Linked DNA regions of Tribolium castaneum. The protein of the gene in region 3 purifies or fractionates together with the protein of the main gene of each other region. This does not show direct contact. Links are inferred from orthologs where the notes say so. Each region holds a gene or a part of one and is shown on either strand. Other genes may lie near its edges.

What was found.
Region 1: the proteins of Sod1 (region 3) and 10 kDa heat shock protein, mitochondrial purify together in Homo sapiens (affinity purification with mass spectrometry; 3 studies listed by BioGRID, with this or other methods). This does not show direct contact. The link is inferred for Tribolium castaneum from reciprocal best matches to the Homo sapiens genes SOD1 and HSPE1.
Region 2: the proteins of Sod1 (region 3) and Prx5 fractionate together in Homo sapiens (co-fractionation; 3 studies listed by BioGRID and IntAct, with this or other methods). This does not show direct contact. The link is inferred for Tribolium castaneum from reciprocal best matches to the Homo sapiens genes SOD1 and PRDX5.

Annotation. Positions count from the first base shown.
Region 1 is NC_087398.1:1,431,320-1,433,756, forward strand, and holds 10 kDa heat shock protein, mitochondrial, read left to right. Parts: upstream 1-1,261; 5' UTR 1,262-1,417; coding exon 1,418-1,420; intron 1,421-1,473; coding exon 1,474-1,635; intron 1,636-1,691; coding exon 1,692-1,835; 3' UTR 1,836-1,907; downstream 1,908-2,437. Other genes in the region: NADH dehydrogenase [ubiquinone] 1 alpha subcomplex subunit 7, read left to right, coding at 2,186-2,437. UniProt on the Homo sapiens protein: Co-chaperonin implicated in mitochondrial protein import and macromolecular assembly. Together with Hsp60, facilitates the correct folding of imported proteins.
Region 2 is NC_087402.1:1,937,816-1,940,684, forward strand, and holds Prx5 (peroxiredoxin-5, mitochondrial), read right to left. Parts: upstream 1,492-2,869; 5' UTR 1,430-1,491; coding exon 1,322-1,429; intron 1,250-1,321; coding exon 1,115-1,249; intron 1,065-1,114; coding exon 741-1,064; 3' UTR 531-740; downstream 1-530. Other genes in the region: RNA-binding protein Rsf1, read right to left, coding at 2,470-2,869. UniProt on the Homo sapiens protein: Thiol-specific peroxidase that catalyzes the reduction of hydrogen peroxide and organic hydroperoxides to water and alcohols, respectively.
Region 3 is NC_087402.1:12,361,734-12,364,651, forward strand, and holds Sod1 (superoxide dismutase [Cu-Zn]), read right to left. Parts: upstream 1,633-2,918; 5' UTR 1,502-1,632; intron 1,445-1,501; exon of another isoform or gene 1,428-1,444; 5' UTR 1,304-1,427; intron 1,217-1,303; exon of another isoform or gene 1,141-1,216; intron 1,092-1,140; 5' UTR 1,086-1,091; coding exon 624-1,085; 3' UTR 522-623; downstream 1-521. Other genes in the region: ATPsynG (ATP synthase subunit g, mitochondrial), read left to right, coding at 1,677-1,716, 1,795-2,054. UniProt on the Homo sapiens protein: Destroys radicals which are normally produced within the cells and which are toxic to biological systems.

The DNA.
Region 1 (2,437 bases), on a different chromosome or scaffold from region 3:
GTAGCGTTTTACTACTCATTCTCAAAAAAAAAACTCAAAAAATTCAAGCTGAATGAAGTCTTTTCTCCTTTTATTTATTTCCATAGCATATGTGCAAGCGCCTAACCTTCCCAATCAAATTAAAAAATAATTTATTAGTTGTGGGTTGTTTCGAGTCCGGGTGTGATTAAATTACAAATTTGTAGAATCCTCGTGCGGAGAGCCCTCACGACTTAATCAACCCCGGGGACATTCGCCGGTTCGGCATCGTGCCAAATGAAGCAAAAATTTCGCTTGGGTGTTTTGCGCCCTTAAAAACGAAGATGCGTTTATTATTTTTCGTTGGTGGTCTAAATTTGACGCGTTTAATTAAAATCGACCTTAAAAGATTCCGCGCTGGTCGCATGCAATTAAAATAAATAATGGAGCGTCATCTTCTATAATAACTTAAAAAATTATAAATTGTGTGCGGAAAAAAGTTAATATGTTTGGCTTACGGCCGTTTTATTAAAAGCGGACTGATTAAAATGTGAGACGAAATTAAAAAGAGAGACCGGGGAAGTGGTATTATTGTGATATGGTGCGGTATCGACGCGGCGTTTAATGGCCGATTTTGAATTATTAAGTGGGTGCATATCGAATATTATCAGCGCGAGTGTTACCCATTTATATTTTAGATATGTTTTATTGATGGGTAAAAGCCGCGCCGAATAAAAAAGAAACTGGATCACGATGCATTACCAACAAAACATTCACACAATATCGGCTAATATTGTTTGGAAAAAAGTTTATCTATTTTTGTTTACCTAAATTAGCATAATTGCATTCAGAGATTACAAATCACTTATCAGTATAAGTGAATATGTATCTAAAAACTGGTTCTATTAAATAAACCAGGAGAAAAGTTTCGGCACTTTGACTGTGGTGCCTTTCCATATTTTTCAAAACTCTGCAAATAGCTCAAAAATACAAGAAATATTAAACAAAGAATGTTGAAAAAGTGGTTATTTACCAATTCAAAGAAAAAATTATTTATGAAAATTAACAGTTGTTGCTAAAGATTAGGAGCACACCACAGTAAAGGCTAGAATTAATTTTTGGTTATAATTTAAAAAAAAAAAAATCCATGGATATTTTTGAATTGGGAGCTCCTATTTTTGTATTCTCTAGTGGGCAATAGCTGAAGCACGCAACTATAGGCGTGATTTCTGTTTTACCGACGATTATTCTAGAAAGCAATCTCGGACACACTAAAAAGAAATAGCGATATGCAACTCCATAGTTTAAACAAAGACAGACAATGGGGATTTTGACAATTTAGTGCGACTGAAAACCTCGTGTACTTTTGATAACCTCATATCGGTTTCGAGCTGATTCTCGTGTTTGCCGGCAAGTTTCTCGAAAGTTCTTCTTTACTTCCGCCAATTAAACACAAAAAATGGTAAGTTTACGCTTAGCAATTAAACGTGTGTTTAAATTTACAAAAAAATGCAGTCTGGAGCTGCCAAACGCTTGATTCCCCTCTTCGACCGTGTGCTCATCAAAAAAGCCGAAATGGTCACGAAAACCAAAGGCGGAATTGTAATTCCTGAGAAAGCACAAGCCAAAGTTTTGCAAGGGACTGTTGTGGCCGTAGGACCTGGTGCTCGGAATAATGTAAGTTGAAATTTTGACGTTTTGGATTTTTCCTGACTTTGAGCATTTTTTAACAGAATGGAGAGACTGTTCCCTTGACTGTTAAAGTGGGAGATAACGTACTACTTCCGGAATATGGGGGCACTAAAGTAGAACTTGAAGAAAATCAAGAATATCATCTTTTCAGGGAATCAGATATTCTAGCCAAATTGACGCAGTAAAACCGCCTTTTGTACTTTTTTTTTGTAATTTCGTTACATTCTCTATGAGAAGTCTGCCGTAAATTTAAGTTATCAACCTCGATTTTGCTATTTTATGATCTGTGGTAACTTAAATTTTACGGACGTGTTATTTTCAGCAGAGTTGAAATGTTACTGTCTGAAAATGTGTTGTTTTGTAGTCATCTAGTTTAGGTTATTTCGTGTATATTTCCAAATATATTTCTATAAAAAAAATCGATTTTATTTAAACTATCCAGTTTTCATCAATCTGCGCAGTGCGCAAAGTCGGCTGTGCGCACTTATGCAACAAACGTCAATTTTCGAAGTAACCTCAAAATTACCAAGTCAAAATGAGTAAAAATATTCGGGATATATCCCCTTTTTTGCAAAAAGTTCGTGACTTTTTGCTGGGAAGGCCCCACACTTTGGCATTGCGATTCCAAGACGAAATTGCCACAAGATCACCCCCGTTACCTAATCTCCCAGACGGGCCTTCGCATTGCTTGAGCAGTAATTATTATTACACAAGGGATGCACGACGTGAAGTGGCCCCACCTGAAATCGTGGCATCCGGACAGAAGTTGATAGCAAGTGGCGAAACA
Region 2 (2,869 bases), about 10 Mb from region 3:
TTCCAAACTTTTTAAATTTTGTCTTGTTACTACGTCTATGCATTATGAAAACATGTGTTTTTTATATAACTACACTGTGATATAAAATGCAAAAGCGCTGACCAAAGTATTATGTACGTATTTTAAATAATTTATTGTGTAAATCGTAACAATTGTAATACAAATACCAAGAGTCAACATTTGATATGGTTAAATATTTTAGCATTATTTACTTAATTCTCGTTATATTGAATTTTACATATCTGTTCATAACACAACAATCTTTTTTAAATTATTTATTCTTTAATAAGACTTATTCATATTCATGGCAATGTGAGGCAAGTCAGGTGTAAAAACAGCAGAACCAATCGATACGATTTGCATAATTAAAAACTTTAACTGTTAGAAAAGCACAATTACTCAGTCGATATTTAAGCAAATGATTCCAAGAATATTTAATCATTTCCTTAGTTCCTGCCGACATTTGATTTAAGAAAAAACAATTTTTTAGGAAAATGGATATGGAAAAAGTGTTAATTACAATACGATAATTCTTTGTAACGGTTTATTAATTATCACTAGTACTATAATTAAACCTATAATAATCAATGAATGCTATTTGGTCTTGCAACGAGCCTTGAAAATAGTTTTAATCAGAAACTAAAAAACTTAGTTAATAATAAAAATATCAACCATAAATTCCTATCCTCGATAAAATAAAATAATGCAACATTACAACAGCACTTCAAAGACATGTTGCTTTACAATTTGATTGCATTGGCTAGGGAGCAGGTCAAGCCAGTGCCGTCAGGTTCAACCTGAAGCGAGGTAATTTTGCCATTGTCAACAACCATGGAGTACCTCTTGCTCCTAGTGCCCCCAAGTGGGGCAATATCAACAGTCAAATCTAAAGCTTTGGTAAAAGCGGCTGAAGGATCGGCCAAAAGTCGGACTTTTCCGGTTGTTTTTTGGTCTTTAGCCCATGCTGCCATAACAAATGGGTCATTTACAGAAACACAAAATATCTCACTGATCCCTTGACCCTTTAATTCCTCAGCTTTCTGTACGTAACCAGGTAGGTGAGTCTGGAATGATCGCATGTAATAATAGTGCGCAATTCAAGGACAGTTAGTACTTTCGAACAACCGGGTGTAAAAGCACCAGGGACTGCAAAAATGATTATTTTTTTACCGGCTGCCAGTTGGGCTAAGTTGACTTTGTTGGTCGGGAGGTCTTCAAAGAGGTCGACGTTTGGAAGGGAATCTCCGACCTGTTATAAACAATAATATAAACATAACCATTTTCACATGTGATTATGTTACATAATAAAGAGCTATATTACCTTTGCAGGCATGTTGAGTGCTGTTGTTGTTTTCAGTGTTCTTTTAACAAACTGAGTTAACAATGAGTTGCAAATGATTCTGCTCGACGTCAGTTGACCAACATTCATTTTATACCGGCTTTTAATTATTTAGAAAAGTGAATAAGAGATGACCTTGGTGTCTTAAAACGACTGCGCAGTGCAACCATGCACCCACCAGTACTATTCAATTTTTAATTCTCAAGGCAATTAATTGATTTAGCGTAATTCATCCGGAAAGCATTTGCAAGGAAATACATTTTTTAGTTACATTTAATCTAAATTCGTGTTCAGAATTATCCTCGTGAGTCACATCTGTAACTGTAGTAAATAATCGGTGGTAGTATTTAGTAAAGACGGCATTTGAACCTAGTTTCTGCGAACTTTTGTAAAATAATTGTATTCCCGATGGAAAAAATGTCACTGAAACGCAAAAGTAGCGAAATAATTGGGTTTCGCAAAATTTTATAGAAAAAATGCGCTTTTATGACCACATTCCGCCAAATAATGCAATTTTTTAGTTCAAATGAATTTAGTTTGTCAGATATTTCGCTTATGTTCTGTTGAATAATTTATTTATGAATTTCTCGGGATGCAGTTATTCCAGGAATAGTGGAATGTCCTTATTAAAAAAAATCATGGAAGCTACATAGGTACTCGGAAGGATAGTTTGAAGGGCAGCAATTAAAAAATGATCAATAAGATCTAACACTTTTATTATTAGTATTGAGCCTTTTGTACAAATAAAGAGTGGCGATTATTTAGTAAAAATATCGATTCGATATTTGCAACTGATTATGCCATTACAGTAAAGGGTGATTCATCCCACAAACAACAATGAAAAGAAATTAAGTAATGAAAAACAGTGAGACACACTGTGTATGACCGGAAAGCCATTAAAAACCGTGTGTTAACACGTGATATTTGTTAAGGTACTAGATTTTATTTCACTCTTACGAAGTAATAAAATAATCATCTAAGTTGCCCCTTGCAACAATAAATACGTCATCATCATCGTAAAGTTCAGATCCATATACTCACTTAAACTAGTCATACATCATCAGCTTTCCGCATTATTGTACTGAACGAAAATATAAAAAATAAGAATACAAACTATGCCTTAATCGTAACTAGTGTCTTGGTGGGGCTGCCGCCGGCGACCTTGACCTGAACCGGGAGCTACTACTATCGAACCTCCTGCCTCCGCCCCCTCGCCCATTGTAGCTATCACTCCTGCTCCCGTAGCCATCTCTCCTCCTGCTAAAATCCCTTCCGTAGGAGCGCCCTCCATCATCGCGCCTTCCTCCCCCGTAGGAATCAAAGCGGCCTCCAGGCCGCCCCCCGCGGCCGCCTCTGAAGCCGCGGTCGCCACCGTAGCCGCCCCCGCGGTACGGGGGCCCGCCTCGGCCCCGGCCGCCCCTAAAGCCCCCGCGGCGGGACTTGCCCCTCGCGATTTCCACGCGCAGCTTCGAGCCCAAGAAATCGGTGCCGTTGAGGCTATCACAGGCCGATTCGGCGTCGCTGTGATTG
Region 3 (2,918 bases):
AGCTAATACAAGAATGTAAAGTGCAAATTAAAAAAATATTGTCAAAGTGTCAAAGATTGATAAAATTGTAAATTAGTTATTAATGATTAGATCTCTCGTTGAAACTATAAATTATATCGGCTATTATTTCTTTGAAGTGCGTGAATAATTTATAACAGCTAATGTTGAGAGAAAATGTGACGGCGTTTTTCTAGTCTTGAAACAGCTAATATATCCCATTTCAGTTCACAGTACAATTTTGCAACAGCGCATTTGCATTTTTTTTAATGAAATGGAGCACAAAATGAAAGTTTTTGGTAGATTTTCTTAGCTCAAAGTGTGTCGCTGGATTTACTTTAACAAAGAATCTTCTTATACAGAAACTCTCAATTTGTGCTTTATTTTTCACTATAAAAAATTCAAATGCGCTATTGCAGTTCTACTATGAACTGAAATGGGATATAACTAAGATTAATTATTTAATAAGAGTAATTATTAAGTAACTGTTGCTAAATGGAATTAATAAAAATAATACAACAAAATAAAAACTTAAAATATTTTATTCTTTCACCATCCACTACAAAATTATTTCGTATTTAACTTGAAATTAAAGCAAAAAAAAACAATTCCAACCAAAAAAAAACTTAAGCTTTAGTGATTCCAACAACACCACACGCCAAACGAGCGCCAGCATTCCCTGTAGTCTTGCTCAATTCATGGCCCCCTTGTCCCAAATCATCCGGATCGGCATGAACCACTAAAGTGCGCCCAATAATGCTATGCTCCCCTTCCAACGAGATAAACTTATCAGTAATACCAACTTTGGCAACTCCATCACCCCCGGCTTCGATATTCCCCAAATCCCCCACATGACGTACGTCATGGGTGGGCCCTCCATGATCCTTTCCATGGGGGTTGAAGTGGGCCCCAGCCGAAATGCACCCATTGGTATTATCCCCAAACTCGTGGATATGGAACCCATGCAGCCCCTTCTTGAGCCCACTCACCTCGCCGGTGACTTGCACCGGGGCTTTACCATTTTCTTGTGTGAAGAAAATGGTCCCCTTAACTTCGCCGTTTAGGACACAAACTGCTTTCGTCGGCATTTTGTTCTAGAACGAGTCGAGTGATTACAATGACTCGGCAAGTGTTTATCACTACTATTATAAATTAAATGCGAGGAGGGAGAGGCCAAGGTTCGATCAGGAAGTGAGGTTATGTTTGAATTTCATCGATCAAAAAGTGAGGTTAGGCCGGATTTCTAATAAAATTATTTTTGGGCGCAATTAATTCGCAAAATGATAGTAGAATTTATAGTACTCACCCAATGTAGTCAAACGGAGCGGAATGTCTGGTTTAATACTTCTTTAACGAAAAATACGGTTCAATTGAACACTCTCAAGGTTAAATTAAGGACGCGCTAGTTATTAAGCAGGGGGCGCCATCATCTTGATTAAAAAATATAAAAAAAATGAAGACACAATTAATTACAAGTTTAAACCAGTTATGTTAAATAGCGTACATTTTGTTACAAAATACGGCAAAAAAATCGATTTTTGCGTTAAGAGAATAAAAAAATCGTTCGGTGTTTGGTAACTTTCGGACCGGTTGGCAACACTACACCCAGTCTCAGCTGTCAAGTGTCACACATTTCTAAGGCCCCAAATTATCAATTTTTACAATAAAACCACCGAAAAATGTCGAAATTAATTTCACAAGCTCCGGCTCTTGCCGCACGTAAGCATTTGTGATCATTTTTGTGTCTTATTTTTCGTTTTTTGTGATTGTTACGTAATTGTGTAATTTTTATCAAAGGACTGGCGGCTGAGGCAAAACCGCGTCTTGAGACCTTTGTCAAGTACGCTAAAGTCGAGTTGACGCCTCCGACTCTTGGCGATATTCCCGAAATTCGCAGTGGGATAAGTCGTCTAATCAGTGGGGCTAGAACGGGACGTTGGAAGGAAACTCCAGTCAAGGAGGCTTGGTTGAACACCCTTGTGACAGTTGAAGTATTGTGTTGGTTTTATGTAGGGGAATGCATCGGTAAACGTCATATTGTGGGCTATGATGTTTAAGAAATTGTTATTAACACAAGGTTGTAGTAATAAACATATTTAATTGTGTTTCTGGTTTATTTTTTGAGTTTGTACTTTATGATGCGATCAATCAAGTAGGTGTGTTGATGTTTATTTGACATTTTGCACTTAAAACTTGAAATATGATACTGAAAAAATTTACGGTACATGGTAAGGTATAATTCAATTGAATCGGCTTAAGTCCTTAATTATATACTTAGGCCACTTCAATTGATTATATTAGCTGTCTCAAAAGTATAAAAACGCCAACGTCGCATTTTCTCTCAAAATAGCTGTTATAAATTATTCATGCATTTCAAAGACGTAATAGCTAATGTAATTTATAGATACTTTCAAGGGGAGATCTAATCATTCATAACTATTTTACAGTTTTATCAATATTATTTAATGAAATAATTCAGTAAAATGCGACGTTGGAGTTTTTATAGTTTTGAAACAGTTTTTATTTAAATGTGAAAAGTTTTCATTAAATGCAATTTCTGTACTATATTTAACAGTATATAAACAGATATTTAAAAATGCGTGACTAACGATTTTTCATTTCAAAGCAAATTTCTATTTTTTTTTAATTGTCAATTTTTGTTAAAAACTTTAGTCGAACAAAATAGTTTTAGTGGACTCATCTCATTAAGAACTTGCTCCTTTGTCGCCTCGTCCTTAATCCGATTCGTCCGCTAAAACCCTATTTTGCGGACTTGTTACATAAATAACCATTTGAGAAATGCATAGTAAAAATATACTTTCAGTGGACTCACCCTGTTACACAACTCCTTTAAACATTTGACATAAAAAATGCGATTTGGGTTTGACTTCCAGTTTGTTTTTTATGAGAAAGTTTCACTT